Linked DNA regions of Kluyveromyces lactis. Each later gene encodes a partner of the first gene's protein in a complex. Links are inferred from orthologs where the notes say so. Each region holds a gene or a part of one and is shown in the gene's direction. Other genes may lie near its edges.

The links. The genes of interacting proteins can lie anywhere in the genome.
Region 2: SWI4 (region 1) and MBP1 share a complex: the UniProt entries of both Saccharomyces cerevisiae proteins name them as parts of the transcription complex. The link is inferred for Kluyveromyces lactis from reciprocal best matches to the Saccharomyces cerevisiae genes SWI4 and MBP1.

What each region holds. Positions count from the first base shown.
Region 1 is NC_006041.1:1,852,109-1,857,216, reverse strand, and holds SWI4 (SBF complex DNA-binding subunit SWI4), read left to right. Parts: upstream 1-1,893; coding exon 1,894-4,695; downstream 4,696-5,108. Other genes in the region: U6 snRNA complex subunit LSM4, read right to left, coding at 279-830. UniProt on the Saccharomyces cerevisiae protein: Part of a complex involved in cell-cycle-dependent transcription. SWI4 and SWI6 are required for formation of the cell-cycle box factor-DNA complex. The repeated element in the upstream region of HO (5'-CACGAAAA-3') is called the cell cycle box (CCB).
Region 2 is NC_006041.1:484,464-488,683, forward strand, and holds MBP1 (transcription factor MBP1), read left to right. Parts: upstream 1-1,455; coding exon 1,456-3,720; downstream 3,721-4,220. Other genes in the region: KLLA0_E05391g (uncharacterized protein), read left to right, coding at 1-911. UniProt on the Saccharomyces cerevisiae protein: Binds to MCB elements (Mlu I cell cycle box) found in the promoter of most DNA synthesis genes. Transcriptional activation by MBF has an important role in the transition from G1 to S phase.

The sequences.
Region 1 (5,108 bases):
GCTTTGAACTTAAGGTTCACTAACTCTGAATCATAATTAATAGGTAGTTCTTTTAATTTCATAACCCAAATTCAGTTTTAAATCTCAAAAGTGTGAAAGGAGTAACGAGAAAAAGGTTTAGGATATCGCATCGAATGCAATCGAAACAGATGTTTTTATAGACTTTTGACCGTCCAAGCCAACAAAATAGTCTCTTTAACCGCAATAAAAGTGATTGAATATGTAACCATGTAGACACACAAATACTTAAGAATTAAATGCTGAGAAAAGAGGTTAAATCAAAATTGTGGAGTTTGATTACTATTGTTTGACGCCTGCGAATACGAAAGCTGTGGATTGGATGATGCATCGTATTGTGATCTATTTTGAATATTATAACGACGAGATCCTGCATTGTTATGGCTGTGAGTATTGTTATTATTATTATTATTATTATTATTGTTGTTGTTGTAATCCCTTCTGTTACCTGAGTTTTGATAGTTTCTTCTACCACCTCTTCTGTTACCATCCCTATTCTGATAATAATTATTGTTATTATTGTAGTTGTTATTTCTTCTTCTATCGTCTTTACCGCCTCTGTTTTGACCCCATTGTTGTTTTACCTTGTCTATGATATCATCTTGCAAATTAACATACTTGATGAAAGAACCTTTCAAATAGAAGCTTGGTAATTTCAAAGTCTCTCCACTAGCTACATGAGTGACATTGGAAAGTGTCAAGTTCATCCAATTGTCTACATCAGATAGCGTACCTTCCACAGTTTCTCCATTTTTTAGTTCAACATGCATTGTTTGACCCTTTGCATTGGTCAATAAATATAATGGAAGCATTTTATGTTATAACTTATTGATCTGTTTTACCAATTATAGTGTGCCCGTGCTGTCGTATTTCTTTAGGTATCTCAAACCGTAGTAACTTAATCGTAGGAAAGGGTGGGGCCGGAACAATATACAATATACCAAAAAATTAGGACTCTGTCTGTCTGGAGAAGGAAAAATGTGAGGGAAAAAAGTATGAATTAGACTTTGTTGCTTATCTGCGTATCTGTAGTTTGAGTTATGTAACACTCCCTAGTAGGACGAACCAAATGCATACAATTGCATTGACAATATTTAAATTCCAATTACAATATAACTTCAGTTTTTCCAAATTTCATTGAGCTGGAAAAAGCATTCTCGACATTTCATAAAATTCATTTACCGGGTAACACTTAAAAGTTTCGAATCACGTGAGTGTCCCGGGTAATACTGACACGTGAATATAATCTGATTATTGATTTTTCTCTTATTTTTTCACTTTTAAGACTGTTTCTGCCCCCCTACTCCTTCGTGTCATACGGACCCTTCTAGGCGTTTTGAAAGGTTGCCTCAGCTTTGAATATGGGAACACACTGGAGTGAGGTTTGAAATGTGAGATCTGAGATTTTTTTTTTGGTGAGGCATCTAATCTTTCTTTTCCCAATTGGGTAAAGAGATTTGATCACAGTTTAAAATAAAGATTATAATCTTTTGAAAGCAGACTTTCTCACGCACTTTACAATGTCATTTATGATTTGTGTATACCTTTGTTATTAACAGTGTCTGTAGGCTACGTGAACTTAGCTAAATATCAGAGCATTCCAGTTGAGATTGATTTGGTCTGCTACTCCGATATCTGGATACATTTTTGGGCACTGGTGGAAAAGCTAGAATAACCGTAACTGCGTGGTATATTTTACGTTGAATTTTACAAAGTGAGCGAGCTTGAGATCACATTGCCAGGAGCAGAAGCAGAAGCAGCAGCAGAAGGTGACACTCGACTCGAAACGCTTTGTTGACTCTGGCGTGCTTTTCTTTGCTTTGTTTTGTCTAAAACAATTAGGATTTCGTGTGCATTTATTTCTTTCGTGTAATTATGGAACAACACTTGTCGCATCATAGCGGCAACGTTTTTGACAAGGAATCTATCCTTCAAATGCACATGGGCACTCATCATCATTCTGAGAATGATACACTTTTGAAACCGTTCAATTCTAATTTATTAGGAGCTAATAGTGGTGCTACCAATAATTCTTCTTCATCCACGGGAGCATCCTCTTCGATGATCGATGAAAGGCAGATCGATGGGAGTTTAAAGAAAATCAGTGAGGAACCTACTATGGCGGAGACAAGTGGTTATGACAGCGAATCGGAAACTTTCATTGAAGTTGCTACATACGCGGGCGTTGATGTATATGAATGTTATACCAAAGATAAACCTCCATGCCTTATCATGAGAAGATGCAACGATAATTGGTTGAACATAACGCAAGTTTTCAAAGCCGGTTCGTTTACAAAGGCTCAGAGAACCAAGATCTTGGAGAAAGAGGCCAATGAAATTAAACATGAAAAGATTCAGGGTGGTTATGGACGATTCCAGGGGACCTGGATACCCTGGGAATCGACTAAATATCTGGTGGAAAAATACAATATTAACAATAAGGTTGTCAAAAGGATTGTAGAATTTATTCCTGATCCAAATGATATGCCTCCTAGAAGATCAAAAGTATCTCAGATCAAGAAATTGGACCCGAATGCAAGGATTACATCACCATCAGCTTATAAGAAAACACCAAAGAAGAATGCAAAGACCCCAATGAAGAAAAAATCTATAAGGAGATCTGGGAAAAAGGATAAACCAGTTCAACCGTCCCCCTTACACAATGTTATGTTTCAAACACCTCAACAGCAACATCATCATCAGAGTCAAAATAGTAACCAAAGTACTGAAAAGCTTCCTAATTTGGCTTCTGAACAAGATACTCCAATGGTACCGGTCAGTAAGGTGAATCCTGATATTATTTCTCAAGCAAACCATCCAATCAAATACCAAACTACTCAGAAACCTTTGCAATTTTATCCATACCCACAAACACACCAGTTCCAACAAATGGTACCTGTTACAAACAACGTGGCTCCAGTGCCAGTCAACTCTAACATGAAATCTCAGCATAACATGAAAATACTAAAACAAATGACGCAGGGCAATGCTGGCAGTAATAATATGGGGCATTCTTCTGGGTCTATGATCTCAAACGTTACATCCACAGGATCCTCAATGGAAGTTTTCTCCTCCAACGATAAAGCTTCGTCTAGCTCATCAGAATCACCAACTCCACTCTCATCAGCTCATGATAAGAACGGTGTGTCCACAGAATATTATAAGGAACTCATTTTGGAGGTTTTATCTTCAGAATACGATTCCGTGGAACCTACGCTACCCGAAGCACTTTATAGGCCTCCATCCAATTTGGACATAAACTTCTTAATCGATGACCAAGGACATACGTCTTTACATTGGGCTGTCGCTATGTCAAACATTCCATTGATTAGAGTACTACTAGTCCAAGACGCAGATCTTCTCCGTTGTAATGATAAGGGCTTCAATTGTTTGACAAAATCAGTCTTTTACAACAATTGTTACAAAGCCGTTTCTTTCCAACAAATAATATCTATGTTAAATCCATGTCTAGTAACACCAGATGCAAATCATAGATTACCCTTGCACTACCTAGTCGAGCTGACAGTAAACAGGTCCAAAGAACCTCATGTCATAGAGTATTATATGGACACTATATTGGATACACTTGCCAAGGAGGATGAGAAACTGCTGCGAATGTCACTCAATCACCAAGATACATTGGGAAATACCCCTTTACATTTAGCAGCCCTCAATAAGAACGTTGATTTATGCCAGAAATTAGTATATTTCGGCGCGTCACCAGATATTCTTAACGGTGAAAATCAGACAGTATCTATGATACTGTCTCGTTTCACAGTTCCAAATATATTTCAACCAACGCTTCCTGCCCAGATTCTACAATCTCCACCCAAGACAACTTTCTTGGCGAACACTCCTCGAAACAGTCAAGAAGAGCGTATAGATGACACCAGCAAATACGACTTCAATGACACCACAGTGGATAGTATACAGACTTCAACTAGGAAAAACAACATAGTCGACCGTAACGATGTCTTATCAATTGATAAAATGAAAGGATCCTTAACTCCAGCAATTAAATTGCATCCACCATCTCCACCAACATTAGTGAAGCCTGTGAACAGATTACGTAGACCTGATGCTCAAAGAGTACGAAAAGAACAAAAATCATCATCTCCAACCATCAAGTCTACTGCTCAGTTGGGTTCTCTTACTCAATCTTTGAGCAACATAATTGAAGATAATCTTGATAATCTTCAATATAGTATACAGCTGAAAGAAGAGCAAATCCAAGAGATCGAGAACCAACTGAAGCACACCAACGCAAGAGAAAAGGCACTCTCCGATTCAAATAATAGAAATACGTTGGGATCCGCCCAAAATCAGCTGAAGATGAAAAACATTGAATTGGATAACTATATGGAGCGGTCGCAAGCGCTGTCACTTGCTACATTAGTACAGGATGAGGAAAACTGTCTCTCAAAGGACTCATCTACGGAAGCTACTAATGAATTCGAAAAGAAAGAATCCATAAAATTGATGGTAGAATTGTGTTACAAGCAGTTCAAGAGAAGACAAATGATTAGGAATATCAAATACGCTAGAGATCAACTGGTTTCAGATAGTAAAATATCAAAGTTCAGAAAACTTATTGGTATGTCCATAGACAATATCGATTCTAAGTTGAATGACATCGAGATGGACCTAAGCTCTATGGAAAAGACTCAGTCTCGCTAAGGACTTCTAACTTTTAATGACTTTTATTTACGCATACGGTGCACGTATAAAATGCACACGGCCCATTACTTAGACTTTACCTTTATAAGATTCATCTTAAATATCATAACTTACGAAACAAAAAGCAACAAGCCCACTGTAGCTAACATAATTTTTTTTTTGGTTTCTGGTTTTCGGTGTTGATATTGAAAAAGAATTAAATTTGAGATGAGATGAGATGCGATGCGATGCGATGAGGTAAAAAAGATTACTGTTCTCATTTCTGTTGCGAAAGGATCTTGAAGGTTGCTCATTTCGAATAAGTATACCCTAGCCCATAGGAGTAAAGACTGTATTTCTTCTTTTTGTTGTGAAACCTTTTCTTAACAACTTCTCAGGCCTGTGATTTTATTATCAGTTTTATAAACCGGTAC
Region 2 (4,220 bases), about 1.4 Mb from region 1:
TGCTTGAATACTTGAATCCAGAAAACCAATTACAAAGATTCTACAATACCCATAAGTTGATTAAATCGAACGTGAACCATGGAGATGTCAGAAATCGTTGGTGCTTACCTTATGATTTTTCACAAATTTCCAATTTCAGAGATGTTGGTGGATACGTCACTACATCAGGTAAACAAGTTAAACCTGGTATTATGTACCGTTGTGCAAACCCCAATGAGGCCACACCCGCCGCTTTGGATTACATGAAATCTCATCTTTTCATAAATAGAGTTTTTGATCTGAGAGCTGTTAATGAAGCTACTGAAGGTGGGATTATCCCGAATTTCGAAGTTGAAAATCTATCGTTCAACAATAACATGACATTGAGTCCAGAAGAAATGGCTAAACATTATCAAGGTATGTTTTTGTCTTCTTACAATTTCCCTCAGGCGTATGAGATTGTTTTAGAGAACAGTCTCCCAGTTATTCGTCGTTTTTTCGAATACATACTTGAGGGAAACGTCGATGAAAAACATGCGATTGTTTTTCATTGCAGTGCTGGAAAGGATAGGACCGGGATTTTGGGTATGTTGATATTAGGGTTGGCGGGTGTTGACGCTGACACCATTTCTCACGATTATGAATTAACTAAACTCGGATTGACTACCGAGAAAAGATTAATCCAAAGAATCACCGGACGTGGTGACAAATTCTACACAATTCTGGGCCCCCACGGTCATGAAATAGCTTCTGCTTGGGGTGTTTCTCCAAAGGAAATGGCAGCCAATGTGCTATCTTCAAAATATGAAGCAATGCGTCTATTCATTGACGCATTCTTGTTGAAATTCGGCTCTTTTGAACTGTTTTTCTTAGAGCAACTGAAGTTTACTGAGAAAGAAGTGGAAAAGATTAAAATCGAACTTACTATTTAAATAGAAAATATATTTAATTATGAGCTTAATGCGTTTGATATGAATGTTGACTATTTTCTGTCTCTCCCAACCAAGAGCCAGCCTTATACGCTCAAAGAGCATCCAGTTACCGTTTTAATTTGAATGTCCGGGTAACATTTTGAGTTGTTGTGTTGAAGTTGGTACGTTTTTTTTGGTTGATGAATTAAGAACCATCGAAAATAATGCAAGTTATTGTTTATATATTGCATATGATAAGTACCTAAAGGTACAAAACAGTCAAAATATAAACCAAGAGAAAGACGATCTTCACACCTTGAATATCCATACAAGGTTTGATTGGAAATTCATTGAGTTTTTTTCGAGTTTGCTGACATTTACTGGACATACCCGCCATTACCAGTCGCTATATTTCGGGGGTATAGTCAGTCGAAGACCAGCATACTGTCAAACTGAATTGGGGACTAAGATATATCATATCGATTTTTGGAACCAAATTTGATCTTACACATAGCACGGGTGCAAGATATTGCATCAATTTTTTTACAAGGATAAAGTTAATACCATGTCATCCAATCAAATATATTCTGCGAAGTACTCTGGCGTGGATGTCTATGAGTTTATACACCCGACTGGGTCAATAATGAAGAGAAAGGCAGATAATTGGGTGAATGCCACTCATATATTGAAGGCTGCAAAGTTTCCAAAGGCTAAAAGGACAAGGATATTGGAAAAAGAAGTCATAACAGATACCCACGAAAAGGTTCAAGGTGGTTTCGGTAAATACCAAGGTACGTGGATTCCCTTAGAGCTAGCCTCGAAGTTGGCTGAGAAGTTCGAAGTATTAGATGAGCTTAAACCTTTATTTGACTTTACACAACAAGAAGGCTCTGCTTCGCCGCCTCAGGCTCCTAAACATCACCATGCTTCCAGAAGTGACTCTACCAGAAAAAAGGCTACAAAAAGCGCATCTGTACCTTCTGGAAAGGTATCCGAAAAAGCGAGCTCCCAACAGCAGCAGCCTGTATCTCAACAGCAGCAGCAGCAACCTGGTTCTGCACCAAAAAGGCGGGGTCGTCCTCCTCGGAATAAAGCGACTGTAACATTACAAAGATCACAAAGTGAGATGGTTTTTCCAAAACCTTCAATTCCATCATCTTCTATCCAGAGCACAAAGTTACCTAGTCTACAGCCTCAGTTTGGCAGATCAGCGACTAGTTTGTCCCCGATTATGGATGTAAAATCTCCGCTGGATCAAGCTTCTCCCCAATTTAAGGAATTAGATATCGAAGACGGACTTTCCAGTGATGTAGAACCTAATTCTATTATGGGCACAAAACATGAGGATAACACACACTTAATGAACACAAAGGATGAGCCTGTATCTTCTTCTTCCTCTTTACCGTCTTCCCCAAGTGAATTCTCTCAAAGTGTTGCATTTGGCTCGAGATCTAACATGCAAACTCCCCTACAATTAAATGGTACGACTTCAATGAATATGATATTACCAAAATTTTCCTCATCTCAAAACGGACCATCTGATTCAAACCAAAGAGCAAACGAATACCTATCAAAATTGGTGAATTATTTCATATCTAATGATACCCAAAACGAATCGGAAATACCGATGGAGCTTTTGAATCCTCCTTTACATTGTTCGCCGTTTATTGATACGTGGATTGACCCCGAACATCATACAGCCTTTCATTGGGCATGTGCGATGGGTACGTTACCCATTGTAGAGGCACTACTAAAAGCAGGAAGTTCCATCAGATCGTTGAATAACGTAGGAGAAACGCCACTAATAAGATCTTCAATTTTTCACAATTGTTATACCAAACGGACGTATCCGCAGATCTTTGAGATTTTGAAGGATACTGTATTTGACCTGGATGCCAAATCAAGAAACGTCATTCACCGGATCGTTAGCAGAAAGAGTCATACCCCTTCTGCAGTCTATTATTTAGACGTTGTACTATCAAAAATTAAAGACTTTACGCCACAATATAGGATTGACGTATTAATAAATCAACAAGACAATGACGGAAATTCACCCTTACACTATGCTGCAACGAACAAGGATGATCAGTTTTATCAACTTCTTCTCCAAAATGGCGCACTTACCACCGTTCAAAATAATAGCGGAATGACACCTAATGGAATCATTAGTGGCCGTTATTCGATGGATGAAATAACAAAAGGGCAAAGGCTGGATGATCCGTATGAATTCAACAAAATGTATCCTTCTCAGGCTGCAACTAGAACAAATAGAATTATCCCAGAGGTAATAAATATGATGAAAGAAATGGCAAACTCTTATCAGAATGCATATCAGAAAAGACAAAACGAAGTTCTTCAGATGGAACGGACAGTAAAGAGCATGAAGAAAACCATAACATCTGTCGAAATGAAACTTTTAGAAGCTTTAAATTTGAAGGAAACTGACAATGTTGACATAGTACTCAATGATAGGAAGGAAAAAATTGATGAACTACAACGGAGAATTGCCACAGACAAGCGCGTGCTAATCAACAGGTTAGAAGAAGGACAAGTAAAACTGATACGAAAGTTTGTTGATGAAGAAACAAAAAATGTCGAAGGTAAGACTACTGACGGTGAGGAGTCTGAAGATATAGAAGCACTTTTGAAGGAATTAGTTCTTATTCAATTAAAACGAAAACGAAAACTTAATCAAATTATTGACGTGATAACAGACAACTCTAAAGTTTACAAATATAGGAAAATGATATCTCAAGGAACTGACATTGACGTTTCTGATGTTGACGAATGTTTAGATGTGATATATCAAACATTAAGCAAGGAAGGTTAGTTGTATAATTCGTATTCGATCGTCATGTACACAATGACTACTTTCTTCATGATGTAGCATTGTATTAATTAAACATAAGAGTACTCAACAAACCATGTTGAATCATCTCTACAACTCTTACCCGATTATATTCATTATAAATGGATTGTACATATCAGTTTGTTAACTTACATATGGGCTACCATAAATATAATAATATTAGAGTTTTAGTTATCTGAAAGTCTGTAAGGTGTAACGCTGAAGATATCATCCGTAGTTTTCTGAACACATTATCCAGTAATGTAAAAACAAAGAAAGAACGCGATCTTGCAATGTTGAAATAAATGTGACTTTTATTGTCTTTCTGTGGAACTTAATCTATTGACTAACTCATTGCAATTGTTTGGTGTTGTTGTTTTTTTATTTGTGATTCATGAGAGCGGAAGCTTTGATTTTATTATATATTATATCTTGGTTGGTGATGGAAGAAATGAGTCCAACTGAAATGAAGGCGGAGAAAC